Bombyx mori: one gene and its partners. The protein of the gene in region 5 purifies or fractionates together with the protein of the main gene of each other region. This does not show direct contact. Links are inferred from orthologs where the notes say so. Each region holds a gene or a part of one and is shown on either strand. Other genes may lie near its edges.

Evidence for each region.
Region 1: the proteins of 116 kDa U5 small nuclear ribonucleoprotein component (region 5) and ubiquitin carboxyl-terminal hydrolase 39 purify together in Homo sapiens (affinity purification with mass spectrometry; 4 studies listed by BioGRID and IntAct, with this or other methods). This does not show direct contact. The link is inferred for Bombyx mori from reciprocal best matches to the Homo sapiens genes EFTUD2 and USP39.
Region 2: the proteins of 116 kDa U5 small nuclear ribonucleoprotein component (region 5) and neurochondrin homolog purify together in Homo sapiens (affinity purification with mass spectrometry; 4 studies listed by BioGRID and IntAct, with this or other methods). This does not show direct contact. The link is inferred for Bombyx mori from reciprocal best matches to the Homo sapiens genes EFTUD2 and NCDN.
Region 3: the proteins of 116 kDa U5 small nuclear ribonucleoprotein component (region 5) and peptidyl-prolyl cis-trans isomerase purify together in Homo sapiens (affinity purification with mass spectrometry; 3 studies listed by BioGRID and IntAct, with this or other methods). This does not show direct contact. The link is inferred for Bombyx mori from reciprocal best matches to the Homo sapiens genes EFTUD2 and PPIE.
Region 4: the proteins of 116 kDa U5 small nuclear ribonucleoprotein component (region 5) and splicing factor 3B subunit 1 purify together in Homo sapiens (affinity purification with mass spectrometry; 4 studies listed by BioGRID and IntAct, with this or other methods). This does not show direct contact. The link is inferred for Bombyx mori from reciprocal best matches to the Homo sapiens genes EFTUD2 and SF3B1.
Region 6: the proteins of 116 kDa U5 small nuclear ribonucleoprotein component (region 5) and protein ecdysoneless purify together in Homo sapiens (affinity purification with mass spectrometry; 5 studies listed by BioGRID and IntAct, with this or other methods). This does not show direct contact. The link is inferred for Bombyx mori from reciprocal best matches to the Homo sapiens genes EFTUD2 and ECD.
Region 7: the proteins of 116 kDa U5 small nuclear ribonucleoprotein component (region 5) and prohibitin protein WPH purify together in Homo sapiens (affinity purification with mass spectrometry; 3 studies listed by BioGRID, with this or other methods). This does not show direct contact. The link is inferred for Bombyx mori from reciprocal best matches to the Homo sapiens genes EFTUD2 and PHB1.

What each region holds. Positions count from the first base shown.
Region 1 is NC_085121.1:4,081,017-4,085,297, reverse strand, and holds the start of ubiquitin carboxyl-terminal hydrolase 39, read right to left. Parts: upstream 2,813-4,281; 5' UTR 2,691-2,812; coding exon 2,630-2,690; intron 2,550-2,629; coding exon 2,401-2,549; intron 2,165-2,400; coding exon 2,050-2,164; intron 1,304-2,049; coding exon 1,128-1,303; intron 905-1,127; coding exon 679-904; intron 516-678; coding exon 392-515; intron 293-391; coding exon 133-292; intron 1-132.
Region 2 is NC_085131.1:8,296,809-8,301,192, reverse strand, and holds neurochondrin homolog, read right to left. Parts: upstream 2,900-4,384; 5' UTR 2,711-2,899; coding exon 497-2,710; 3' UTR 289-496; downstream 1-288. Other genes in the region: N-acylneuraminate-9-phosphatase, read right to left, coding at 3,132-3,242. UniProt on the Homo sapiens protein: Probably involved in signal transduction in the nervous system, via increasing cell surface localization of GRM5/mGluR5 and positively regulating its signaling. Required for the spatial learning process.
Region 3 is NC_085121.1:14,019,523-14,023,771, forward strand, and holds the start of peptidyl-prolyl cis-trans isomerase, read left to right. Parts: upstream 1-1,375; 5' UTR 1,376-1,530; coding exon 1,531-1,740; intron 1,741-3,195; coding exon 3,196-3,381; intron 3,382-4,249. UniProt on the Homo sapiens protein: Involved in pre-mRNA splicing as component of the spliceosome. Combines RNA-binding and PPIase activities.
Region 4 is NC_085116.1:8,410,642-8,413,425, forward strand, and holds part of splicing factor 3B subunit 1, read left to right. Parts: intron 1-1,036; coding exon 1,037-1,195; intron 1,196-1,299; coding exon 1,300-1,488; intron 1,489-1,601; coding exon 1,602-1,784; intron 1,785-2,043; coding exon 2,044-2,222; intron 2,223-2,305; coding exon 2,306-2,551; intron 2,552-2,784. UniProt on the Homo sapiens protein: Component of the 17S U2 SnRNP complex of the spliceosome, a large ribonucleoprotein complex that removes introns from transcribed pre-mRNAs.
Region 5 is NC_085121.1:1,483,751-1,487,859, reverse strand, and holds the start of 116 kDa U5 small nuclear ribonucleoprotein component, read left to right. Parts: upstream 1-1,257; 5' UTR 1,258-1,390; coding exon 1,391-1,581; intron 1,582-1,810; coding exon 1,811-2,040; intron 2,041-2,529; coding exon 2,530-2,781; intron 2,782-3,051; coding exon 3,052-3,309; intron 3,310-3,738; coding exon 3,739-3,980; intron 3,981-4,109. Other genes in the region: nucleolar complex protein 4 homolog B, read right to left, coding at 490-598, 694-816. UniProt on the Homo sapiens protein: Required for pre-mRNA splicing as component of the spliceosome, including pre-catalytic, catalytic and post-catalytic spliceosomal complexes. Component of the U5 snRNP and the U4/U6-U5 tri-snRNP complex, a building block of the spliceosome.
Region 6 is NC_085117.1:12,228,033-12,232,298, forward strand, and holds protein ecdysoneless, read left to right. Parts: upstream 1-1,417; 5' UTR 1,418-1,516; coding exon 1,517-1,730; intron 1,731-2,070; coding exon 2,071-2,273; intron 2,274-2,663; coding exon 2,664-3,935; 3' UTR 3,936-3,942; downstream 3,943-4,266. Other genes in the region: U6 snRNA phosphodiesterase 1, read right to left, coding at 1-67. UniProt on the Homo sapiens protein: Regulator of p53/TP53 stability and function. Inhibits MDM2-mediated degradation of p53/TP53 possibly by cooperating in part with TXNIP. May be involved transcriptional regulation. In vitro has intrinsic transactivation activity enhanced by EP300.
Region 7 is NC_085110.1:5,298,539-5,302,974, forward strand, and holds the start of prohibitin protein WPH, read left to right. Parts: upstream 1-1,526; 5' UTR 1,527-1,637; intron 1,638-1,879; 5' UTR 1,880-1,881; coding exon 1,882-1,969; intron 1,970-2,540; coding exon 2,541-2,702; intron 2,703-3,595; coding exon 3,596-3,777; intron 3,778-4,422; coding exon 4,423-4,436.

The DNA of each region.
Region 1 (4,281 bases), about 2.6 Mb from region 5:
TTTATGTTAAGTTTTTTGTTTTAAATCCTATTTAAGTGGATGTGAATTGATATAAAAAAACCAGTCTTAATAAAAAAATAAAAAAGTTAGTGAATACAATTTTTAAATTGCAACAATACTAGGTATTTTCACCTGTGGAATAATATTTTCGCGGAACTCATCAGTGAACAATGGCGTTGGAGGCAAATCACATGTGAGGTACAAAAATGGAGACTCAGTGATCATTTCATTGTACTCTTCACTGCTAAGATCGACTTTAGCTGCATCATCAGCATCCGGCGGTGGCAACTTTCTGAAAATTTCAGTCTGTTCAGAAATTTTTGACTGCATATAATGATAGATTAAATGTTAATTATTTTGAACTTTAAAAAATCAGATGCTTAAATCTTACCTTGTATAGATCCTCATGTGACCCAGAAATGACTTATAAATTATGGAGCTATTTGGCTTCTTTGTACCATTCAGTGCCATGTGTAATGAATTTAGAAACCAAGACAGAAAGTCTATTGGATCACCTGAGCAAAAATTTATTTATTTATAAATTTTTATTATTATTATAAAACAATATATAATTAAAATATAAAACTGATCAATCAATATTCATACTTTTTAGCATAATATACAGAAATTACACTAAGAAAGCATGTTCGTATATCCAAAAAACTACTAAAATCTTACTCTGCTTAATAAACTGATATCGCTTCTTAGACCACAGCACAACAGCCTGCAACATCTCGTGAGGAGATACATGTGCTTTAAAAGCACGGGGGTTCCATAGTTTGCGTAATAATTCACCAAATCTTTGTACAAGTAAAAAAGACGAGTCCCCTGGTGGTCTTTTTACACTAGCATAGTTCTCTTCTCTCAAAAAGTAGTTACGTAGGGGACGTACTTGTGACAAACACTAAAATCATAAAATGAATTTAGTATAAAACTGTGACAATATTAAGACTTTGTAGCACTGTGTAATTATTCACTACAAATATACATAATGGTTAAAACAGAATCAGTTTGACTGTAACGCATCTACTTTCACAGATCGCCGGCAACAAAAATATAAGTCGCATTTATCATACAATAAAAACAGTACATATCATAAAATGTATTTAATAAAAACATATACTGACCTGCAAAATTACATTACAGTAATCATTGGCCTTGATATTATTAAGGCCTACAATGCCAGGCATATACATTGTGCCATCAATGGCTCGTGACATCTTTGTGTTAGTATCTATAAGCTTGATCTGTTCAGGTGTGAATGTTGGGTTCAAAACATATTTGATGTCATTCAATGAAGAGTCTAAAATGTGAAATTGTCTTTTTTTATGACTGTGATAGGTAGATTAGCTCCCGGCTCATCTGATGCTATGTGATTACCCGCATCCCTATAACAGGAGTTCTAAGTCTCAGTTTTACAGTACAACAGTAGCTGTCCCCTTCACCAATGCACATTATTGCTTCACGGCAGAAATAGGCAGAGTGGTGGTACTTACAAATGCAAGCTCTTAAGTCACCCTTAGAACAAATTATAATTTATGCAAGTTTATTATAATCACAAGATGGATTTGATACATTCCTTCACCAACGAAGTGTTAAATACATATTAAAAAAATTGGTACCTGCCAACAGAATTCAAACACCACCACAGTTGCACTGCCCAATACAAATGCACTGGGTGTCTTGTCCATTAGACTATTACAAGTTTTAAAGCTTTACTGTACTTCTAGTCATTGATACCTAAATTTAAGCTTAAAAGTATTTTACTTGATTCCATTTTGGTGTATAAAATTTTAAAAATCAGTCAAATTTTCCTTATTATTAATTTACTTACAAAAATAAAGTCTAACAATTTATTTTAAGTTATCGCATGTGTTAACAACTGTAAAATGCACCAATTCTTAATCATAATATTTTATAAATATTTTCAATGCACAAAATCATCAATTGACCGAATTCATTTATATCTTATTATTATTTTATTTATAATTAATTTATATCTAACATAAAAGCTATTTTAGCTAACCAAGTTAAAAATATGTAATTTACCAATAACTTCATAATTGTCAGGAAGACAATAGAACTTTAATGTGTTAAGATTCAAAAATACATGGTGTCCATCAGCCACTGAATGTGTGTAGGCATGAGTGTTGGTGCCTCTTCCCTGGAAAGTAGATAGATTTTAATGATTTTTTCGCAAGTGATTAATTCAAATTTATGCCTAAGTCAACATAAATAACCTATCTTACATATCACTACAGCAAAGAACTGGAATGAAATGCCAGGAACAACACTGGCGCTCATAAAAATCGTCATCATGAAAACAAGTAACTTGCCTGTAAAAAAAAGTTCAAGCCTCTAATCACCAAAGCCATGACAATTGCATAAATATTTTGTTACCTGAAAATATTTACCGCACACTAAGCAAGCGTAAACATTGATTCTAGTCAATGAAACCGAGCACAATTTCTCAAAGTCAAAATCTAAAACATGCCGATTGATAGTATCCAGGTAAGGACATTGAATTTGTTGAGTTTTCGAATATCGTCCTGAAAATATAATAATACTTTGATTACAAATAGCAGTAGAGTGCAGAATCATAGAAGGTTAGAATTGCATTATCAAGTACCTTGTTTGTCAGTCCCATTTTCATCAGTTATTTTGCGTTTTCTAGATTGTTCTTCAGTCATTTTATTACTATCATAGACTTTAGACAATGTAGTTAAATGAAGAATCTGAAATCTAAATGTAAAATGTAAATATTAATCGTTAAATGAACTTTTTATGGGATTTTATGATACGGTAACTAAGACCTTTAGGTCAGGTCTTAATTAAATTTATATTCTTATTTTTATGAAAAATGGTAATACGAAGTGGTATGAAATGAAATGAGATAATATAGTATGAAATATGAAGTCGTCGTGGCCTAAAGGATAAGACGTCCGGTGCATTCGTGTTGAGCAATGCACCGATGTTCGAATCTCAGGTGGGTACCAATTTTTCTATTGAAATACATAACAAATGTTAACGATTGACTTCCACGGTGAAGGCATAACATCGTGTAATAAAAATCAAACCCGCAAAATTATAATTTGCGTAATTACTGGTGGAAGGACCTCTTGTGAATCCGCGTGGGTAGGTACCACCACCCTGCCTATTTGTGCCGTGAAGCAGTAATGCGTTTCGGTTTGAAGGGTGGGACAGCCATTGTAACTATACTTGAGACCTTATCCATCCTCCAAAAAGTTCACTAAAAAGTATCAGTAAATGACCACTATCATAGTGAGATTATATTTTATACCATATCATCTCATCTCATTTCACTTCATATTATCATTTTTCATAAAAATAAGAATATAAATTTTATTAAGAGTTGACCTAAAGATCTTAGTTACCGTGTCATAAAATCCATTAAAAAATATTTTAGTAGGAGTATGTGTTCTATTTTCGAACTGGAAAGGCAAAAGTATGATACCATACAGCCTAATCTTTCATATTTTTTTGCTTATGATAAATGATTATATGAAATGAAATGAAGTTGATTAATTTGGAACAATAATCAATTGGCATGAAATGAAACGTAATGAGATGAGATGAAATATAGTCTCAGTAAAATGGGAATTATTTTCTGAGACTTTTTCAATGGACTTTTAAAAAGATCCCGAGAAGCTACATTTAACGGCTTTGTTGCATATTCATACATTTGTGCACTTTCAAAGGTATTATACAGTCAATTAACCACCATTATTACGCATTTTAATCTGAAAAGACACTACATAAATTAAATAAAACAATTGACACTGCTACGCTCATAGATTAATATTTGAAAGCTTCGCTCCTCGAATTTCCGCCAAAAAGTTATTATTTTGCCAATATTGTAATTATAGAGTAACTTGGCAATTTTTGGTAATATTTAGGCCTTGTCCGCACAGCGATATTTCACCGCGCGATTTTTTTCTCGTAATTCTGTAACACATTTAATATTATAGAAGTATCCGCACTGGCGGGAACGAAATCGCGCGGGAAAAAAATCTGTGACTTGATGCAAATTGAACGCGAAGCGGTGCGATTTATTTCCGCGCGAATATTTTGTATCGTGTAGAGTAAGTATGGCTATGTTCGCACTGTGGAATAAAATTCGCGCATTTCGCTCATAGTCCTACAACCTCGCTATTGAAAAGATGTAGTAAAGTAGTTGTAGTAAATTATCGAATGATATTTTTGTCATTCTGTAATAGCCAAAAAACTTTTTGCTGTATTTTCGCACTCTTGATATTTTAT
Region 2 (4,384 bases), on a different chromosome or scaffold from region 5:
ATTTTGGTTTTGATATTTTATTTTTATGTGACATAGAAGACGAATCTTTGTTATGAAGTATTATGTGGTTCGTGTAGTGTGTTAGCTTACACAGAAGTGTCTGTAATCCTGAAATAGCATGGGGTTAACGACCGTTGTCTGGGTGTTCAGTCACCTGAAGTTTGGTTGGCAAAGGTTCGCAGTTGAAAACTGATACTCTAGTGTTTACAGTCATTGTATATCTGTATATATTTTTTATATGTATTTTAAGTCGCGAACTTCATGAATGCAATGAAAACAAGCTTGGAATTGCGTTTGAAGTTTTTATTTCAAAAATACAAAACAATATTTTCAGTTAGTTATTAAATGTTGTAATATGTTTCAGACATAATGCATATTGACAAGTGAATCAAAACTGGATCATGTTGACTTATTGAAAATGAACTGTTTAGAAGTAAATACTGAATACAACATTGTTACCTTTCTACGAAAAGTAAAATTTTATTAAATAAATTGCCTAGTCACCAAATAATTTCTTGCCAAGATCCATTAGTCGATGATTCCGACACATTTTTAGGGCACCTGCTTTTTTGAGGACAGGTATAACACTTTCGTTTGAGTCAACTAATCTACAAAGAAAATCTTCAAAGGCTGACTTAACGTTTGGAGCCAGTGTACCAATCTTAACTTTCACAAGCATTTCAATTATTCCACCGGCCCAACCACTTTCAATAGCAAATTCTGATATCCAAGGAACTATAGTTAATACTCCACTCATTGTCTGCATTCCTAGGAACCATAAATCTGCAATTTCATTCCAGTGTTCCTTATAGCTCATGGACACAACTAAAGCAGTCGGATCATTTGATTCATCTACATTGTATGCATCCCAAAGAAACCTGATAGTTGATTGAATATATCTACAAATTGAAAAATCATTCTTTTTCACTTTGTTTGCTTGTTGTTTGAACAAAAGTAATCCCAGTACTGCCAAGTGTCCATGTAAGACAAGATTTTCAGGGATGTCCTTCAATTCTGGTAAATTGTTGAAAATGAATTTGAGTAGAGTGTTAAACAGCATGCTATTGTCAACAATTTTAGGTGCCAACACTGTCAGGTTCATGAAAATGTTGCACAGGCTAACCATGGCAGCTCTTGAATCCTTCATATCTTCCAATAACTTGGGATCCAGTTCTGGCTCTGGTTGAGTCCTAGCTTTGCCTCTTTCTGACTTAGGAATAGGAGGTTTCTTATAATGCACAATAGACCAGTGGAAATTCATAGCTTCATATAAGATGTCTTCCTGTTTTAGGTTAAACATGATATCTCGGGCTTTATCTTCAACAGCTAAGTGACAAAGTGCTGGTAACATCAGACGAAGTAAATCTATTTGGCCCATGAGTCCGGAGTTATCATCTAATGGTTCACCTTCAGATTTATTTTTCTCAGCGAGTTTTCTCGATCTGTATGCATGAAACGAATCATTGGCAAGGGAAAACATAAAAGGCAGTAAAGCGTAGATTTGTTCTCTCATCGCTGTTGTCTCTTGAGCTATCCAGGCAAACAGCACTCTAACCATTGCTCCAACAAATATTTTTTCAGCTTCTGGAAGTTTATCCTTGTTTTTATCATTCGACACTTTTGTCAGTAATGAAACTACAGCATTGAATGCTCCTTTTAAGCTAGTGTAAACAGATTGTTTTTCTTTTTGCTCCAAGTCCAATTGATCAGTAGCCATGTAGTTGATAGACAATTCCAGGACAATGAAACAGGCAGTTACTAACTCTCCATTAGCAAATGCTTGCTTGAAGCTTCTATCTTCCAATTGCATTCTTACTTCAATGGCACAAAGTTGTAAAAGAAGTAGGAAGAATTTCTTAGGATTTTCTTCATCATTAAAAGTCCATTCTATACCAAGCAGATCAACAATGTTGGCAGCTAACTTCAAAGCAGGATCTCTCTGATTTTTACCTATTTTACTTGTGAGAATATCATGAAGAGCTTTGTAGATACTTTGAGGCCATGTTTCATCTGATGATCCAGGCAAAACGGTAGATTTGTTGCAACTGTACAAGAGTGCACTAAGTACTGTGGCTAATTCAAATTTCCTCTCTGACTGATCTGTTGCAAAATCTAAAGCAATTTTGTTTACCAATGCATGGAATGGTTTAGGATCGCTTCCCCACGCAGCAGGGCCATAGCGACTAACCAATTTCACAAGGATATTTAGTGCTTCATCTGTCTGGAAACTTTGGTGAGAGTAGATTTCAGACATTTTCTTTATAGCACCAACATCAATAAGAGCTCTTTGGCCAGCTTCATGTTCAGCTATGCATTGTAGGCAGGTGTATGCTTCACTAATAATGATAAGGTTATCATCGTAGTCATCATTATCTGATGTTTGTACTATATCAAGGAATACTGGTATGTTTGCCAGCATTTCTGGATGGGTTGCAAGTTCAGGTTCATTACAGAAGTTGGTGAGTACAGATAATGCCACCGATTTATATACAGACGGAGGGCAATCATCTTCTACACTGTTGCTTGTCAACAACTTCTTGAGGAATTGAAATCCGATGGCTTCAAAAAGTGCTTTCTTCGCTGTAGAATTGCAGTCCTTGCTTTTTACCAGTTTCGTCACCATAAACAGGGCAGCAAATTTTTCGGTGTCGCTTCTTGCATTTTTTAAGATGAGTATGCATTTCTTGATTGGTTCTGATACATCACCCATTGTCACTAACACACGACACGCTCACAAAACGCAATAGGGCTCCACTGAGTGCGCGGAATCGCAGTCGGATCGTTCAAACAGCGACTCGATCCACATCACGTTTATAATTAGAGTGTGTTCTCTTCCAAAATAGCTAAATCTGGACGTCGAGCTCACGTTCTCTTACTATGTTATTCTAATTATAGCTCACTGGAACGTAAATGATCTACATTAATATCTACATGCTGTGCATGCAGCAGTGGTTCTGAAGTGAGCTCTAAAGGTAAGCCTTTGGTATATTAAATGAATCAAAATCGTAAAATATTACTTAGCGCGAAAAATGAGACTGACAGTATTCATTTTGTCAATCACCTATACCCATGCTTCCATGACCGTGGCAATGTCAAAGTGAAAGAATACTAAAATATCAAAATATACACACCTTATTACAAGCTTTAGTATCTCCTTTTCTTGTTTGTATTAAAGTGTTATCTAAATCGAATAGTATAGCAGAAACATCACTATTTTCGTCAAAATATCCACTATTTGCCATAATTTGTTACGCAGCAAAATGTAAAATCAACGAATAAAAGGAAAAACACTTGTCCTTGACGTCACAAACGTGACGTAATGTTGAGTACTTAGGCAAACGAAATTGTAATATTTATGATAAAAAACAACAGAAACATTTGAAATAAATTTACATATTGTAAGAGAATATTTTGTTATTTACATTATATTTGGTAAATAGGTAATTTGTTAAATTTTGTAAGCAAAAAAACTCGTGGATACGCCATCTAGTGATCACACTAAAACATATTAATAGCATTTTGCCGTCATTGTGTTTTCAATATTGTTTGCCAACAGATGGCAGTGACAGCAAGCAAATCACACAATGTGACCTTGGAGAGTGTGACGTAGAAATCAGAGGCTCACTGAATTTGGACCCCTTTTTTGATTTTCGGTTTTTTTTTTATTTTTAACTTTTATCTTTTTTTTTTTATTGCCGTATAGGCAGACGAGCATACGGCCCACCTGATGGTGAGTGATTACCGTCGCTCATGGACGACAGCAATGCCAGGGGCAGAGCCAAGCTGCTGCCTACCGCTTAATACTCTCCACAAGCCTCGTTTGAAGAAGGACATGTCATAACGCTCGGGAAACACCGTGGAGGGGAGCTCATTCCATAGCCGGATGGTACGTGGTAAAAAAAATCTCTGGATCGTGGATTTATTCGTCGTTTGTTCGTTAATGTTCGAATTAGCTAATTTGGATTAATTATAGTTTGTTCGACGACTATTGGTGATTATTCGACCATAAAAACAATTATATTTCCAATTTATTAACTAATCTGAGCGATAAAAATAAAGATATCTAGTAAAAGGGGGTTCACTTAATGGTGATCATTTGTTTAATTAACTATAAATAAATAAAAGACGAACAACAAATTTTTACATTCGAGCATTAACGAACAAACGACAAACAAATAATTAAAAATAAAAAAAATCCGAAAATCAAAAAAGGGGAGCCAAATTCATTGAGCCGAAATCAGGGCGATACTTTAAAACAAATATTTTTTTTGTATGGAAACTATCGACATCTTGTAGCGGATGCTCTTATGCTTATAATATGTTGTTAAAGTTAAGGCATTTAATTATTTTATAACTAAAGACAAAAAATTATAAACTATACAAG
Region 3 (4,249 bases), about 13 Mb from region 5:
TACAGTACAACGGCTGTTCCTTAAAACCAACACATTACTGCTTCACGGCAGTAAAAATCAGAGTGTTGCTACCTACTCTTGTGGGCGTATAAGTCACCCTACCATTAGTAATTACGCATTATATAATTTTCGCAGGTTTGATTTTTATTATAGGCTCTTACAGTTTTACTGGCTTGGACGCAGCGCTCGATCCGAATGCACCGGGCGTCATAATCCGCAGGCCACCACCCCTTCAATAGCTGGTCGTTCTTGATGGACATTCTGGATTATTATTAGTCTGGACTGGATGCGATAGGCAAGAGACCTAGAATAATGGAGTGTATTTGAAGAGACCTATACTCAGCATTAGGTGGATAAGGTTTGAAGAAGAGATGAAAATTCTAGAGGCATTTAAGAATTCGTCCATTACCTTCGTAGATTGTTTTCATAAGAAGTGTAATACTTATTAACTGTAGATTATTTTGAGTACCTTAAAGGACTAGACTATATCTGTCAAAACCGTCAGATTTGACAGTTTTTTGAAAAACTTTGCGGTCCATCTTATCGTTTCATTACATATATTTCGTTCAATTTCATTCACATGTATTACTAATACAAAATACATTTTTTTCATTACACTCCGGTGTTTGGTTCCTTTGTTATCCAACACAGTATTTAAAAAAGAAACGAGCTGCCGAAGAGATATTTAATTTTGAGTTTGAGTAGGTCAGAATCGCATAGTATAACTCTTTCCTAATGATAACCTTAACGGTTTCCACTGCTTTTCCTTTTGCTATAAAATATTACAGGGCTTTTGGTAAGGTAATGTAATGATTATTTAGTTGTAATTATACTGTATACCTAGTTGAAATTATATTAACCAGTAAGTATACCAGCCCCCTTCAGCTCCCTTCCATTTTACTTTTTTATTATTCATCCGTCTTTAAGAACGGATTTCGTTTCTACCTCACGTTTAATTTCTTATCTGCTTTTGTTTGGTATATACTGGTGGCAGATACAAAGATTGCAAGACGGCGCCAATGGCGAACTCTTCTATCTATTTTTGCTATAGAGCAATCTTAAATTCCTGTTTAAAAAGGAGAAATGCCGATATTCCCAATAAATTAATTCGTGACTAGTTAGATTAAATCAAAAAACAACTAGAAAACTATTTTGTTACATATCTCACTATCGAATAGGAAAATATTTTATCATACTTGAAACTGAGAATGAGATATTTATCGTTTGTGTAATTTGCTACTCTGAGCTTACCTTAAATTACGTAAAAATCAACTGTTTATTTGAAAATCATTGAATCCAAAGATATTAAGTGATTACTTATGTTGTTTATTTTAATTCCTTCAATGAAGTAGGAAACCTATAGGTCTATGAATTCCTTTGACAAAATGACATTTGACTTTTTGAATTGTCATTCTCTTTGAGGTTATGTTTGATATAAACAAACCGCTATCGGCGCTATCACACAAATAGTTAGCTATGTACCTAAATTTCATTTAAATTTCGAATAATTTAATATAAACACACGTGAAAATGTCGAGTAAGCCTAATTCTAAGCGGACAATATACGTTGGAGGGCTAGCTGAGGAGGTCGACGAGAAAGTTTTAAACGCTGCTTTCATCCCTTTCGGGGATTTGGTTGATGTTCAAATACCTTTGGATTATGAGACTGAGAAGCATCGGGGCTTCGCTTTCATAGAGTTCGAAAACGCTGAGGATGCTGCCGCAGCGATTGATAACATGGTCAGTACTTTTACAGTGAAATACATGGCAGATGCTGGACATGGATTCTTTCAGTTCTAGTCCATAGGTATGATACAAAATACTCATTTTGGTACAAACGAAGGGTACACATCTTTGTTTATCGTTAAAGAATGTGAAATTACATTCAGGAATTATTTTTGGACAAATAAGATATATAAGTCTATATTTATTACTTATACAATAATATCTGACATTTTAAATTCTTACATTTTTTCGGTCTTAAATGTCCATTGTGAATATAGTAAGAGGTGAAGAAGTGTTATTATTGTTGTTATAACTCGGAAGTCCCCGAGTTTTTATTACAGATGGTAGGGTATATTGTAAGCCCAAGGGGTAGGTGCCACCAACATGTTTATTTATGATTTCTGATTGGCACAGTAGCCATCACCAGTGGAATAACCACAATTGAAACTACAACCTTATGTCTCAAGGTGGGTGGCAGCATTCACATTCTGATGGCTGTTGTCTTGTAATTACATAAACCTGGTGACATGAGTTTGTACATACTTATCACAAGCAAAACCTACCATAGCTAAAGGAATCTATATTGAAGAGTGAAATGCTATTTGGTATAAGCAACATTTTCCTTAATACACAACTTCATCTTCATAATTAAAGGTGTGTTTTATTTGGTATTAGCAAGAACAGTTTGATGGTTTTAATTGCTCTTTAATTGAGTTTATTCCATTAAAAAAGCTAAAGAAGTTTATTTGTTATGGTATTTTTTCCAAATTTTAAACTTTAAATGGCCTTTAAGTTCCAAAAATGTCAATATGTCCGAATGTTTGTAGGCAGCGGCTTGGCTCTTCCCCTGGCATTGCTGACGTCCATGAGCGACGGTAACCACTCACCATCAAGTGGGCTGTATGCTTGTCTGCCTATACGGCAATAAAAAAATATGTCACTTAAAACAAATAGCCTTTCACCCCTCAATATAAGGTATTGAAGGGAGAATTAAAATTATTTGTGTGTAATTTAAACCTCATCATTGGAAAATACTTTTTACTGATATTATAATTATATTTGTAATACATATTATTACAGTAAATAAAATATTGTTTCACATATATTTATACACGTCATGTTTCAAAGGTTTTTTTTTTTAAATTCCGGATTAAAGGAGATTTTGATTATTTTAATAATTTATTTAATTGACTAACACTAAAATGTTTAATATAATATTAGCTTAATACATTATCAAACTGCCATTCATAACTAAAGTGTAGGATATTGTAATAGAAAAAAGTTATATACACAGTAAATAAGCTTTTATAAAATAGGTTTGAAATTATTAATCTACTAGAAAATGACATCCATAGAGACATAGATGACCCTAGAAATATAGACATATTGTGGAATGCATAATTAAAAAAATTTAAACATGCTTAGTAATATTTTCTCATTTTAACTTGTAATCTAACTATTTATTTCTAGAATGATTCAGAACTATTTGGTAGAACAATACGAGTGAACATAGCAGCTCCGCAACGCATTAAAGAAGGCTCCACACGACCTGTCTGGTCGGATGACTCATGGCTGCAGAAACATGCTGGGGAAACTCTTCAACTGAACAAAGATGGTGAAGAAACTGAAACGAAAGACAAAACCGAAACTACTAGTGTAAGTAATCTAAAGTACATCAAATTAAGAAATAAGATGGTTATGATTCGGACATAACATGTGAAAGGATAATAAATATTATCCAAAACATTGATAAAGATGATTGATTTTAAGGATGCATAATATAAGGACTAAAGCGTTTAAAGTAAATGTATAAAGACTCTGGGTAAGGGGTTTGATAACTTTGTCACTAGCATTAGTCATATTCTTGAGATAACATAAACTCTGTCAAACGTTTGGCTTGTAATTTGGTATTATGTCAGTTACAGAGCGAATGCTACCTTCAGACGTTAATTACAAGTCTGAATTTTATTTAAATATCGACTTTTCTAACTTCACCTCAAAGGAAGTGAAATTATGATGGTAATTTTTTGTTCTATGATACTCTCCATGTCTTCGTATTGTGTCCAGTTTTCCAGTCAAGAGTTTATTGAGTTAGCACATACATTAAATTGTTTTCAAGTGATGTTATGAATATACTAAAACAAAGTGTGTAAATTTACATTGAAATTCTTCTCTTCTTCATCTTTTTCTCCACCTTATCCCACTACACACTTTACCCAGGTGGGCTTGAGCTCGTCCACATATCTAAGAAATAAAAAAAAAACTAGGTGGGGTCGGCACAGCTAATTTTTCTCTTCCATTCTCTTCTATTAGCCATCATCTCAACACTCACTCGTCTCTCTCATATCATATCGTCGTTCACACATTCCAACCATGTCTTCTTCGGTCGACCTCTTCCTCCTCTACCTTTTTCATACTATTTCCATAGATCTCCTAGTCACATGCCTCAATTCTCTACGCATCACATGTCCATACCGCGCTAATCGTCCGCTTGTTTCAAACTTCCTCTGATATACTCATTCTT
Region 4 (2,784 bases), on a different chromosome or scaffold from region 5:
GGGTGGGGTTAATTTTCAAATAACAAAAGATTTTAACCAATATCTATTCAAATCAATATCAAATCAATTCAAAAGATTTCAAATAATAAAATAAAAAACAATTTAATGTTTCATAACATTATTGCTATTAATGTAATATGATTTATAGATATGCGAGAGAGATGGCCAGTTGTTGCATACACATAATATGCACACACATCTGTATATCCATTGGAAAATAGTGATCTCTACTCTCTTGTTTTACAACGAATTACGATGTTGTTTCTACAAAAAAGTTGCTTCCTAATGAGTTATTTTATTTTTATTTATACTTATTGTACACAAAAAGAAAATACAATAAAAACAGATTTAAAGAATTCTAAATACTATGTACAAAGGCGAGCTTAACTCATTCATGAGTTTTCTTCCAGCAAACCATTATCAGAGAGAAATACGATGTATAAGAGGGGAATAGTGTACAATATAAGAGCTATTAAAGCATGATTTTTAACTAAGCATTAAAAAAATAATCTAATATTAAATGAAAAATACATATAAATAAAAATACATAAAACAATAACTTAAATACGATTAAAGTGACAGGAAATGTTTCTTCATTTGACTCTTAAAAACTTCTAGAGAGGAACTAGCACGAATAGGTTGAGGGAGAGAATTCCATAATCGCACTGCTTGTATTGTGAAAGAGCCACTATAGCGACTAGAGCTGTGTATGGGAGTTTTTAAAAGAAGAGAAGTGGCTTGTCGACTAACTTTGCCGTCAGGAATCAGATATTCAAAGCGTTCACGGAGATAGATAGGGGCATCAGGATTGTGAAGAATAGAATAGAGAAAAGAGAGAATGTTATCATTAGTTATCATTAGGAAGCAACTTTGTTGCTGTTGCGGATAAAATAATAAAGTCAAATGTCTAACATGAAACATGCCTATTAGCTTAGACTGTAAGTCTTAGATAATGCATCAGTCATATACTAATTATCTCACCAAAACCAATAATCACTGTAATGTAATTTAATACACATTGTACTTAATATTTTAGGTAGTAAAACAATGTTGCGGTACCGACGGTGTTGAGCCTCAATACATAATGGATGAAATATTGCCTCATTTCTTTAAACACTTCTGGAACCATCGTATGGCCCTCGACAGACGAAACTATCGCCAGCTTGTCGACACCACAGTGGAAATTGCAAACAAGGTACTAACTATTTCGACCAGAATCATTGTATTTCCATTAATTCACTCAAAAGTAATCATTTTCCCAATCAGGCATTGCTTACATTGTGAAACTATTGATCGCAGGTCGGTGCATCAGAAATTATCAACAGAATTGTTGATGATCTAAAAGACGACAATGAGCAGTATAGAAAAATGGTGATGGAGTCCATTGAAAAGATTCTCGCTAATTTAGGAGCAGCAGACATTGATTCTAAGCTCGAAGAAGCTCTTATCGATGGAATATTGTATGCATTCCAAGAACAGACAACTGAGGTAAAACATTAAAAAAAGTTTAAATGTCTGATTTTTAAACACTTAAGTCGTGACACAAATCTTTTGTAAGTAATCTCTAACTTTATATGATTCAAATTGTGATTTTTCGATAGGATGTTGTGATGCTGAACGGTTTTGGAACAATCGTGAATCAATTGGGAAAACGCGTAAAGCCCTATTTACCACAGATATGTGGTATTATTCTTTGGCGTATGAACAACAAGTCTGCTAAAGTTCGGCAACAAGCTGCCGATCTCATTTCTCGGATCGCTGTCGTGATGAAAACTTGTCAGGAGGTAATCACATTTTCTTTGCCATATCCTCTTGTACGCTATGCTTCCTTACTAAATTAGTATGTAGTATAATTTTTTCGTAATATATTTTACAAAATGGGCAAACAAGCTCAACTGTCGCAAAGTTAACGGGGGTCCATACACCGAATTTAATTTGTCTTGAAGTATATTTGGATACATTAGGAAATGTATCCAAATATACTTAATTTATAACATCATTACCAATTGATTTTGAAAATTTTAATTGCTTGCTATTTCATAGGAAAAGTTAATGGGGCATCTTGGTGTTGTACTGTATGAGTACTTGGGAGAGGAATATCCTGAAGTGCTAGGCTCTATACTTGGTGCATTAAAAGCAATTGTCAATGTTATTGGAATGACAAAGATGACCCCACCAATAAAGGATCTCCTGCCTAGGCTTACACCCATTTTGAAAAACAGGTAACCTTGTTCTATAAATAGTGACTTGATAACTTCATAGAATCTTTAAATTAAATCTTTAATATGTTTTTTTTTAATTCCAGGCATGAAAAAGTACAAGAGAATTGTATTGATTTAGTGGGTCGTATTGCAGACAGAGGACCGGAATTTGTGTCGGCCAGAGAATGGATGAGAATATGTTTTGAATTGCTTGAACTATTAAAGGCTCATAAGAAGGCAATTAGACGAGCGACTGTAAATACCTTTGGTTATATTGCTAAAGCCATCGGTCCTCATGACGTACTCGCAACCTTACTTAACAATCTGAAAGTGCAAGAGAGACAGAACAGGTCATTATTTAATTAATAATTATTAGTAGATTAGTTAGCTTATTAAAATGAGTAGGATACGTTAGATCCTGCATGTTTGTTATTATTATTATCATTTACATAGGGTAATCAAAATAAAAGAACCCGTTTTACCAAAATATCCAAAATAAATTCTTAATAATAATATGGTCACAGGAAGTTGATATAATTTTTTCAGATATATTATGATCACATTGGCCCATCTAAATTTACAG
Region 5 (4,109 bases):
AAATATGCTAATGATAGCTTCACATTGAGTTTAATTTTGACAAAATAAGTTATAAAATAAGATAACTAAACCTGAAGATAATTAAATAGACAAACATATCTACAGAAACGACCTTGAAACTAGTGACAGCCCACACAATAGCAAATTGCAAACTTTATTTAGTAAAAAATATATTTATATGACTACTTTTTTTTTCAATTAAAAACTGAATCGTTAGTACTTAAAATCCCAACGTGTTAGCTTCGTAATTACGGTTCAACTGCAATAATTGCAGTATTTCATATATTTATTCAAATGTTTTTTAAAAGCAAATGTCAATTAGTATGCAGCTAAATTGACAAATTTAGACAGCAACATTTTTCGCAACGTAACACAGCTTACATACTACGTAAACACAACGTATATCTACGTACAGTCAGGTTCGCACCATGCTAAAATCGATATATTCAATTCAAAAACACATTTTCGTGCGGCAAAACAAAATCATACCTGCAGGCTTTAATGGAACTATTTCCTGGACTAAATCGCCCCGTTTTAATAGTTCGGTGAATATTACTTCTATTGTAAGCATTAGCGGCGTATAATTGTCTGTTTCGACCTGTAATATAAATGTTAAAATCACGAATTACAAATGTAACCTATGACGCATTACATTTTTCGTTGTACTAAATGAACAAGGGATTTCATGCTCACCTCAAACATCTGCAATATATCAGCAAGATTGTTCGCATGTTTTCTGGAGTTAAGAAACTCATTTGCTTTATTACGAAGCTGTCCCGAAATCATTTTCGAAAAATTTTGTTGCACAGCAGCCATTTTTGTATTGAAAAGGATTGACAAAAAGTGACAACTGATCAGGCGGGCAACCTTAGAAAATATGGTTTCGTTTAGTAATTAGGTAAACGACTAATGAACATGCCTGTGCCTAGGAAACTCTTATTTTATTTTCTAAAAATATATTAATTGAAATCAAAATCAGAATTAATAGCTTTATATTAAAGTAGGTTCACATCAAATCTTTTTAATCGTTTTAACTATATTATCTAAAAAAACAAACCACTAGAGCAACAATGTAAGCTTGCATTAAAATAATCTCTGTGAAAATACACAAATATTATTACGAAATATTAGTTTAAAAACTAACCATAAGACATTTAAATGATATTTTTTGATAGTATTAAAACATTGCTAAATTATTAGTGCTGCTCTTTACCTATGTTTTTTTCATACAGTCCAATTCGTTTATTTTCGTTTAGAAATGAAACCAGATTTTAAGGTTATCTTGCTGTCAAAGTCAAAACTTGTTCAAAACAATCTTTAGAGCATCGGCAGTTGTTTTGGATAATTATTTTTCGGAAATATTTTCAAAATATAGTTATCAATATTAAAAATGGACGGAGATTTATATGACGAATTTGGAAACTACATCGGGCCAGACTTGGAGTCTGATTCTGAAGACGAACAGAGTGTATATGGTCAGGATAATCGTGAAGGTGATGAGGAAGCAATGGAGGAGGACGAGGACGCAGACGCGGAGCCCGAAGTTGCGCCTATGTCCGTCGTTCTTCATGAGGACAAACGGTAAAACTTTTTCATTTAAAACTAACAAATAAAGCGGCCTTACAAGATGTTAACCCACTTTACCGGTACTAGCGACGCACATGCTAGACCATAGAACAAGCACACTCAGACCTCGAATACCTAATATTTTTAACAAAGAAAAAAGTACTGAGAAAAGCTATGCTCTGTTTTGGTATTTGTTAAAATTAGTTATTGATTAATAATAACATTATTAACCATCAAACTTCAGTTACTATCCTCAAGCTGTAGAAGTGTATGGACCCGACGTAGAGACAGTCGTCCAAGAAGAAGATACACAGGCTCTCGACAAACCCCTGGTAGAGCCTGTGAAACACAAGAAGTTCCAGGTTCAAGAACAGCAGCTACCAGAGACCACCTACGACATGGAGTACATGGCTGACATGTTAGATAATACTAACTTAATCAGAAATATTACGTTAATGGGCCACTTGCACAATGGTATGTGATGTGATTTCAATGAAATAAATAAGAGACAAGTCATCCATGAGCTTTTTGTAGAGCTTTTATTTGTTAATAATAAATTAATTTGATTATTATTATTACATTTTCTATAATTACCATTCAACTTATAATGTTGAGTTTCATAAAAACTACTTTATACTATGTACACACAGATAACCGTAAAATCTTTAAAGTGTATTGAATAAAATAAAATGAAACTATTGGAATTATATTATTATTATTATATATAGAGGCCTATTTTCTGCAGTGGACGGCGATAGGCTGAAATGATGATGATGATGATGATGATGATGATTAAATGCAAGAAAACTGAAGAAAAGACTAAGATTTAAGTGATCAATATTAATCTAAAATAGGATTTAGTAACAAAAATAAAAAAATGTGCAGATCAGAAAAAGAAATTTCATATTTCCTATCGAAAATTAGTGAGTGTTATTTGATCTTCTTAAAACTGTTTTATTTCAGGAAAAACATCTTTTGTAGACTGTCTCATGAGACAGACACATCCTGGAACAATTAACAATGAGACAACAATACCTATAAGGTATACAGATACTCTGTTTGTGGAGCAAGAGCGAGGAGTGTCGATAAAGTCCATGCCGGTAACATTGCTATTGAAGGATATAAAGGGAAAGTCACATTTATTGAATATCATGGATACTCCAGGTCACGTGAACTTCAGTGATGAGGTGACTGCTGCTTTGCGGATATCGGATGGTAATTTTTTTACTGAAGAGGAAAGCTTATTTGTGAAATACTTATCAATTCTCAATACTCATAAAAGCAATTTAACCAACAATCAAAGTCATGTGTGTTTCTTTATTTGACATTATAACCATAAGTCGACATCTGAGCATTTTTAATTGTTGAGGTTATTATCAAAAATGTACACGCTTCACAAATGCTGCCTATGAAAATTCATTTTAAAATATTTTTTAAAAAGAGGTTTCAGTATAAACAAATACAGGTTAATTTTGTCTTTTATAGGAGCGGTACTCTTTGTGGACGCTGCTGAAGGTATAATGCTCAACACGGAGCGAATGTTACGTCATGCAGTACAAGAAAGAATTCATTTAACTCTTTGCATCAACAAAATAGACAGGCTAATGCTTGAGCTAAAATTACCTCCTGCAGATGCCTATTATAAGCTCAGGCATATTATTGATGAGCTGAATTCTATGCTGGAGACCAATCAACCTCAGGATAATCCTGATGAGCCTCCAATTGTATTTTCACCACTTCTGGGTAAGTTATTAGTATCTCCTATAGCCAGGTTTGTCACCAACCATACCTGGAGTATAAGTAACAACAATTGTACTGTACTAAGTTTCATGTCAATTGGAATGGATCAATTTCAAATAAACATTGTGTCTTAGATAAGGTACAGAACATTGCCAAAAGTTGTTTTTTTTTTTCATTTTTATTTTTTTTATTTTTTTATTGCCTTTGTAGGCAGACGAGCATACGGCCCACCTGATGGTAAGTGGTCACCGTCGCTCATGGACGTCAGCTTAGCCAGGGGCAGAGCCAAGCCGCTGCCTACCATAAAGTACTCTTTGGACCAAATGTGAATTCAAATGGTAATTATGTAGCCATCTACACAAATAAGAGAAATGAATACTTTAATCCATTTTTAAGGCGATTGCTAAGTTGAATGAGTATACTGTTGTCCAGGTAATGTCTGCTTCGCGTCAACATTGTACGACGTGTGTTTCTCTCTGGAATCGTTTGCGGCGATGTACGCTGCCTCGTACCCTGCGTGCGGACTGCGGGCATCCGACATGGCGGGCTGGCTGTGGGGCGATGTCTACTTCAACGCGAAGACTAGACGCTTCACGAAGAAACAACCTCATGCCTCTGCTCAGAGAAGCTTCGTGGAGTTCATATTGGAGCCGCTGTACAAGATTTTTGCTCAAGTAATTGATTGTAAATAATAATTAATTAGAAAATATCAACAATCCATGGATTGACCCTGCAGATACCGGACCCGTTATGGTGCGGAGAGAGGTATTTAGAGAATGCCAGTGGACTTGTAACACAGGTGT
Region 6 (4,266 bases), on a different chromosome or scaffold from region 5:
GTTCAGTTTCACTGTCACTATTCGTTGAATCAGATCCGTAATCGTTGATATACGACAGACAAGACATGAGTTTAATTGACAAACAGCCGTGAAGATCAAATAGTATTTAAGCACAAGCGACGAAAGACGACAGAAATCATAATCCTAAATATCAAGTGTAATAAACTAGGGACAAAACTAAAAGTATGCAATAAAAACATGGAAGTGACACTCAATGTATAATCTATGCATGGATTTTATGACCTGGTAAGTAAGACTTTTAGGTCATGTCATGTTTGATTTATATTCTTATTTTTATGAAAAACTAGCGACCTGCCCTCGCTTCGCTTCGGAAACTGTAATTTATTATTGTTTTCTCCACTATTTAATGGATGTTATTATACATATAAACCTTCTTCTTCAATCACTCTATTAATTAAAAAAACCGCATCAAAATCCGTTACAAATAAATAGTTTTAAAGATTTAAGCATACATGGGGATATAGGGATAAAGAAAGCGACTTTGTTATAAACTATGTAGTGATGATAATATGGAGTGAAATGAAATGAATGAATTTACTGGTGGTAGGACGTCTTGGGAGTCCGCGCGGGTAGGTACCACCGCCTTACATATTTCTGCCGTGAAGCAGTAATGCGTTTCGGTCTGAAGGGTAGGGCAGCCGTTGTAACTGTAGTGAGATATTAGAACTTATATCTCGAGGTGGGTGGCGCATTTACGTTGTAGATATCTATGGGCTCCAAAAACCACTTAACACCAGGTGGGCTGTGAGCTCGTCCACCCATCTAAGCAATAAAAAAAAAGAAGATTAATTTGAGACATTAATCAACTGGGATGAAATAAAATGAGATGAGATGATATGGGATGAACTATAATCTCAGTAAAATGGTGGTCATTTACAGAGTTTTTTTTAGTATGCTAGTGGACTTTTTGGCTGGAACGCGAGGAGTGAAGTTGTATGATTTGTTTTATTTTGTCTATTTAGTGTTTCTTCGGGTTTAAATGTGTAATAATGGTGATTTATTAACTGTTTAGTATCTGTGAAAGTGCACAAATGTGGGAAAATGACATAAAGCCGCTGAACGTAACTTCTCGGGATCCTCCAAAAAGTTCCATCACTGAAAAAGCCTTAGTAAATGACCACCATTTTACTGAGATTATTTTTCATACCATATCACCTCATCTCATTTCATTTAATTTCACTCCATATTATCATTTTTTCATAAAATAAGAATATAAGCGGTAGGCAGCGGCTTGGCTCTGCCCCTGGCATTACTGAAGTCCATGGGCGACGGTAACCACTCACCATCAGGTGGGCCGTATGCTCGCTGCCTACAAGGGCAATAAAAAAATTATAATATATATATATATAAATTAAAATTAGACATGACCTAAAGATTATAGTTACCAGGTCATAAAATCCCTAAAAAAAATAGCATGCTAGGCCGAATAACCATAGACCTTTAAAAGTTTCATATTCAGTGTAATTAACATTGAAATTTATATTTGATTGAAGAAATGTCTTTCAATAAAAATGCAGTTTTTTCTGAACCATTACACGAAGATACCGTATATTGCACGTTTTATTCTTTATCATTGCTTGAAAGATCACAATGGGTGTCATTGTGTGACCAAATCAATGAAACAATCTTAACTTTGTCAAAAGATTACATCTGGCATAGAGATGTTTTCAAAGTCTTTCTACCAGTTTATGAGAATAAAAATCTACACAGTGAGTACAAGTAGTAGTACATACAAAATATCAGAAGAAAATTTTATACACCATTTTAAAAATAAGTTAATCCTATCCTGTTTGTAGAGAATAAAAAAACAAAACCTATAAACCATTATTTTTGCAGAGAGCGACTGAAAAAATAAAATATTATATTAATTGAGAAATTTCCTATAAGCCAAAGAAACAAAGAGACAAACAAACTGATCATAATTGATTAGACACTTGTTTTATACACATTAACTTGAAAAAGCCTTTGTTGAAATTTAAGACGTTTTTTATAATTTTAGAAATGTTATTAATCAATTAAATGTTATTTTATTTTATCTTTTTTTTTCAGACTATCCTATGCATTTAATTAATGTAACATGTTTTGGTGACAATATTGAAGATGAATGGTTCATAGTTTACCTTGTAAAAAATATAACAAAGCTATACACTAACATAGTTGTACAAATTAAAGACAGTGATGGTGAATTTTTATTAATAGAAGCTGCAAATTATTTGCCTTCATGGGCAAATTCAAATACTACAGAAAATAGAGTAAGTGTTGTGTGATATGAGGGTAGGACAGCTATTATACAATAAGAGATTTTTGGCAGTCTCAAGGCATTAGCTATCACTTAGAATTCTTTCTGATCTCCATTCCAATTTATACCAGTGTATCCAGTTTATACATAATAGATTGAGTTTTGCCTGTTTAGAGTAATCTACATTAATTGACATTCATGAACTTATGGAATAGATATGAAATCATTAGCTTTAATTTAAAATATAAATAATATAAAAATACATTTGTCAAAATGATTTTCATACTGAATTTTAATTCAATTTCAGATAAAGTAAGTTTTTAAATCATACAACATACATTCATAAAATCACTAATGCTTGAAAATAAAATATTTGTACTTAATATACACATCATTTTTCCAGGTGTTCATTTACAACAACAATTTACATATAATACCTCCACATGTGGCAAGTATAGATGAGAAGTTAGAAATATCAGAAGCATTAAAATACTTGGAAATCAATAAAGACACTAAGTCAACACATGAAATTGAAAATGCTATATCGTTAAGAATTGAGAAGTTTTCTAAACATTTAAGTGATTATTTCCATACATCAGTTGTTAGACTTCCAATAGAGGTAGCTACTTTAGTGAAACTTGAACCTCAATACATTGCTAACTTTATTAATGCCTATTGTAATCATGAAGAATCTAAGTCCTGTCCTGTGATTAATTATGAACATTTAGTGGATGTTCCAGTGAAGTTTACTAAATTCTTGTATGCAATATTGATGCAGTCAAAACCTATTAAACATTTTAGTAAAAGAAAATCCACAAATGATAAGAGCACTTTACTTGGTTTGAAAATTTCCTATGGTTATCAAATTATAACCAACTCATCAAATGAGGTTTTTTTAACCAATGCATATAATAAATTTATTGCTACTTTAAGGAACAATGGTTATTTTAAAGGTAATTTAGAGGGTTCTAGGGATTATCAACAGCTTTTAGAAAAAGCTAAGGATTATTTCTTAAATACTGAATGCTCAGTAAGTTCTAATGCATCTTACAATATTGCAAAAACACTAAGTTCAGAAAATTTCACTCAAGAAATGGAAAATATAAAAAATAATAGTACAAATTTGGATTTCTCAGATGATAACGATGACTGGATGACCATTCATCCTGATGAGTTAAATAATACATTAAATTCACGCTATGGCCAAAAATCTAAATTTACAGTAAAAAGTGAAATTACTCCAGAGTCGATAACAAAGGACCTTAATAATTTTCTAAATAATACTTCAAACTTTGAGGGGATTGAATCAGAATATACTGATAATAATACTATTGAATTTGAGGCAGATGAATTTCAATCTTGCATTGAGAAGTTTTTGGGATTATTGACTATGAATCAAAATGATGTGCAAGAAGAGTCAGATTTATTAGATGATGAAGATTGTATTTCCGAAAATGGAGATATTACGGAAGAATTAGAAGAAGAAATGAAATCTAAACTGGGAAATGATGATATAGACTCATTACACAATCAGAAAAATATTTTACAAAATTTCTTGCAAAGTATTAAAGAAGAAAAAGCTGCATCTGGTCCTTCCAGTAATCTACTACAGTCAATAGGCCTTAGAAAAACAGAATTATTAGACTCAGATGATGATGATGATAATAAAACATAATAACTTAGTGATTTGTTTTATTGGCCTTCATGGGTTGAATAATTCAAGGCTTGTCAGTGTTTAGTGGATATTGGAGTCTATAGACAACCATGTTGTCTTAATGCATTAGCACCCAGCTGGGGCGAGTCTTCAAAGGTGATGGTCGATTTATGAGAGTTCAACAGAAGGCCGCACGACAGGGAGCTTTAGCATGTCATGTCCGGAACGAAAAATGAAAGATAGTCAAATAAGTGGGTCCTTAAACACTACCTTCTATCTGCAGCGACTGTCGCGTTGACTGGGAAATAATTTGCGTGCCTCCTCAGCACGAGGAGGCTATCAAGTAGGAAAT
Region 7 (4,436 bases), on a different chromosome or scaffold from region 5:
AAGTTTACGAATGAATGTTTGACGGCCCTTCACATGCGCGCAAACATTCGTACAATGTACGAATATTTGCCCGCATGTGAGTGGCCGGCATTACTATCATTCTCAAAGATGGGTTAATACCACTGAAGTAGGAAACCTATATAGGTCTATGGTTAATACCGATATTTGTCAATATTAGCTAATACTAATATATTCATTATGTAATATTATAATACCTTAACTAATACGTGAATATCCTGATATCTTAATATACTTCGATAAAACGGGTAAACGAGTTAAACCTAATACGGTATTCGTGAAATAAGTTAATAATCATAGATAATACACATAAATTAGTTATTAATAATATAAATAGTATATTGTATCTAGGAATTTGACTTCATACTAAATATTTTACAAATAATATTATATACATTAAAATGAATATTATTATTAAATCAGAATTTGGTCAACATTGTATATTAATATAAACAACAAGTTAGTAATATTATTTATTTCTTATTGGTGCATAAAAACATCAGCTTTTTTACTTTTTCTACCGAAAGACTGGTACGTCGGTCAGTAATGAGTTCACCAGATTTTGAAAAAATCCTCTTACACGGTACTGAGGTGGCTAGTGGGTACCTACACAACAGTTATAATATTATAATCCACGAACCGTTTGTTTAGAAAGTCATTTCGATTCAAAAATCAAACTTTTATTTATATTTTGAGAATTTCTTAGAAGATAATTAAATACCACCGCAAAAATATATTTTCATCATAATTTATTACGTAAAACACTTAATTTAGTTCTGGCCGTATTACGTTTTGTGTAAAAATAATTTAATTTATGAAATTGGTAAACAATATCAACTACCTACTTCCGTTTTCCAAATCATCGTTTTAAAACCAACTAATTCGAAGGGAACAGAAAATAAAATTAAAATAATGAAAATAAAGCTCCCCGATTTTATTCTAATAAATGTAAAAATGCACTATTTTGCCTTGAGTAGAATCTTTAGTTGAATCAAGAAATGAAGGATCAAACATTAAAACGTAATGTATTTAAAAATTCCCACTAGCATCGTACGGCGTATGCCAGTATATTTTCGAGTGATAGATACAACCCGACCGATGTGAGTTAGCTAAGTGTTATGAATAAAGTGAATACGGAATATTAGCAGATCAGAATGCGACGGATTACCGACACACGAATACAAGCTGTATTAAGAATATCTTAATGAATACTAATATATCGGTCTCACCCTTAATCATTCTATTTCACCATTCAAACCAGAACGCTGGACTGCTTCGCGGCCAAAATAGGCAGCGTTGTGGCACCTATTCTTGTATACTTATAACATGAATCCCACAACCATAAATACCTTGTATATAAATATTTCTCGACGAAATTTACTCAATTTCTCTGTGTTCGAATATTTTAAGTCGAGTTCATGAACAATTACAAGGACTCTAGTCTACCTGATTCGACACTTCAGAATATCATATGTAACATCACTATTATTGTTATAATCTATGTTTCTCTCGTTGCGGCACAATTTTTGTCTTCCCGTTTGAAACTATAATTTTTCAATCTTTTATGTTAGTTGTTACGTCTACAATAAAATAAGAGTTAAAACATTAAAATTTTGAAGGTAAACTTTCAAATTAACAATTATTAAAGATTATATTTCCAAAAATTTTAGGTTAAGTAACATTTTGTGAAATTAGGTAATAATTAAATTTTTTACTTTTTAATGTTTGTTTTGTCCATAATCATGCATTCTGTGCTAAGCGACTTATTAAAAAAAACGATCACTTATTTCTAATCAAGTAACCTAGTGACTTTCATGGTTCAGATTTTAAAAAATTAAAATGGAAAAATTATTCATTTCAGATATGGCTGCACAGCTTTTCAATCGCATTGGGCAAGTCGGTCTAGGCGTGGCATTGGTTGGAGGTGTTGTCAATTCTGCATTGTATAATGGTAAATAATTTTACTTAAACTATATCAGTTATAACCTTGCATAAGCTTGCTAGCTGTATTGTATGCTAAACATAAAAGTTGCATTTGCTTGGATCCCCAAAATAGCTCTTGTGTATCTTTGATAGAAACTTTGATATTATATTTTTTTTGTCATTGCTTAGATGGGTGGACGAGCTCACAGCCCACCTGGTGTTAAGTGGTTACTGAAGCCCATAGACATCTACAACGTAAATGCGCCACCAACCTTGAGATATGCGTTCTAAGGTCTCAGTATAGTTACAACGGCTGCCCTGCCCTTCAAACCGAAACGCATTACTGCTTCACGACAGAAATAGTCATGGCGGTGGTACCTACCCGCGCGGACTCACCTACCACCAGTAAAATTAATTAAATCCTTAATTGATGATAACAAAATCTATATAAAAAAATACACTTATCTTTAAGAAATTTCTTCAAAACAGAGGATTATGTAATATAAATAAATAATACATTATTTGTCATTGTGATAAACCACTGAAAATGCGACATGTAAAAATGCTGATCCTTATAAATATATGATAATTGTTTCCAGTCGACGGTGGTCACAGAGCTGTTATCTTCGATCGATTTGCTGGTGTTAAGCAGCTAGTTGTTGGTGAAGGCACACATTTCTTCATTCCTTGGGTCCAGAGGCCAATTATATTTGACATCAGGTCTCGACCCAGAAATGTTCCTACTATTACTGGAAGTAAAGGTAAGATAATGCTTAAAATGCAAAAATTTTATAATCTGTATTCACTTTAGCATAATGCATCATATTGGCTTTAATACTTCTGTTCTAGGGTTTCAAAGCTATGTTATTTTTATTAGTATTAAGTGGTAGAGCTCATAACCTAGCAAGTATGCCTCCATTCACTTTCAGAGATAAGGTTAAAGTCCCATTTATAGTGTGAAAAAAGCTATATAATTCTTCAAATTAGATTGCAAGACTTCTTTGCACCAAAAACAAGTAGAACAACAGTACCAATGCAAGTGAAATGAGTAGTTGTATGTGTAACATGTACTTATGAATGATTGATGGCTTTCTTTGATTATGGAAGTGTTTGCATACTTACTTTCATGAAATGGCAAAGCAAAGGCAAGTGAATTGATACATCAGCCAAAAAATATATACTTCTGTGATGTTTAATGATAGAACATCAGAATGTCAACATTTGTAAGAATAATAAAGCAACAATATGGATGATGTGACTATACTCTTGTATTGTAAAAAATTAAACATGAATTGAGATTAAAGATGAAAAATCCATTTATATTACAAATACACTCATTAGAATTTAAATGCCCTGGTGTTAGGCAGATTGTATTGTACTTTAATGCATGCTAAAACATTGTGCAGCACAATAATTCACAAGATATTATCATTGGTAACTAATTTAGGAAGCAAAAATGAGTAATAAACTCAACATAAATTACAAACTATTTTAAATACTTTTAGATAAAAATAACCTTCTTATTTTAGCAAATAAAAATATTCTATTCAATAAAACTTCAATTAATAAATCCACTTCCATTTGTTTTTTTGAGTTTACATTGTATAATGAAAATACCAGTAGTTAATTTAATAAAACATTTATTTTATTTCAGATCTTCAAAATGTTAACATCACACTTCGTATCCTCTTCAGACCAGTTCCTGATCAATTACCAAGAATTTACACTATTCTTGGTATTGATTATGATGAAAGAGTACTTCCATCTATTACCTCAGAAGTTCTGAAAGCAGTTGTTGCTCAGTTCGATGCTGGAGAACTTATTACACAAAGAGAGGTGAAAGTCTTGCTATTTTTAAACAAACATACTCCACTTCTTATTATGCTATATGAGGAATCATCTGTAGGATTACCAATTTTCAATTGAAGGAACCTGTTTTAATGCAGTTTGTAAACATTCATACTTTCATTTTAATATGTGATTGTTCTGAACTTAAACTCAGTGTTACAATAAAACTTGTATTAAGTTTATATGAATATCTGATTTTTCAGCAAAATATTTAAATGGTAATTTAATTTGCCTAGTGCACCTATAATGGCTATGAAATTTGACATTGAACTTGATAACTTGATAACTTGACAGCTTTGAACTTATTGTGCTAAGTAGTGATATAGACTAGAACTAACTCCATACTTCATCTTATTAATATTATACCTCATGAGGGAGACTACTCACCATCAGATGGGCCGCATGCTCCTCTTAGAAAGGCAATAACAAAATTTAGCACCTACCCATATTTAACCATATTATGAGTCAGGCCATGTTACCAAGTGTCTAATGCAACAGTCACTGATCTTACAGAGCATTAAGCACATAGGTTGGCATAGTTCAGCATACCAATCAAAACACCATTTCCTTTGACTTTAAACTGTCCCAAAATTGTTGACCAATTTTTAATCAAAACATAATTTTTGTTTACAGATCGTGTCGCAAAA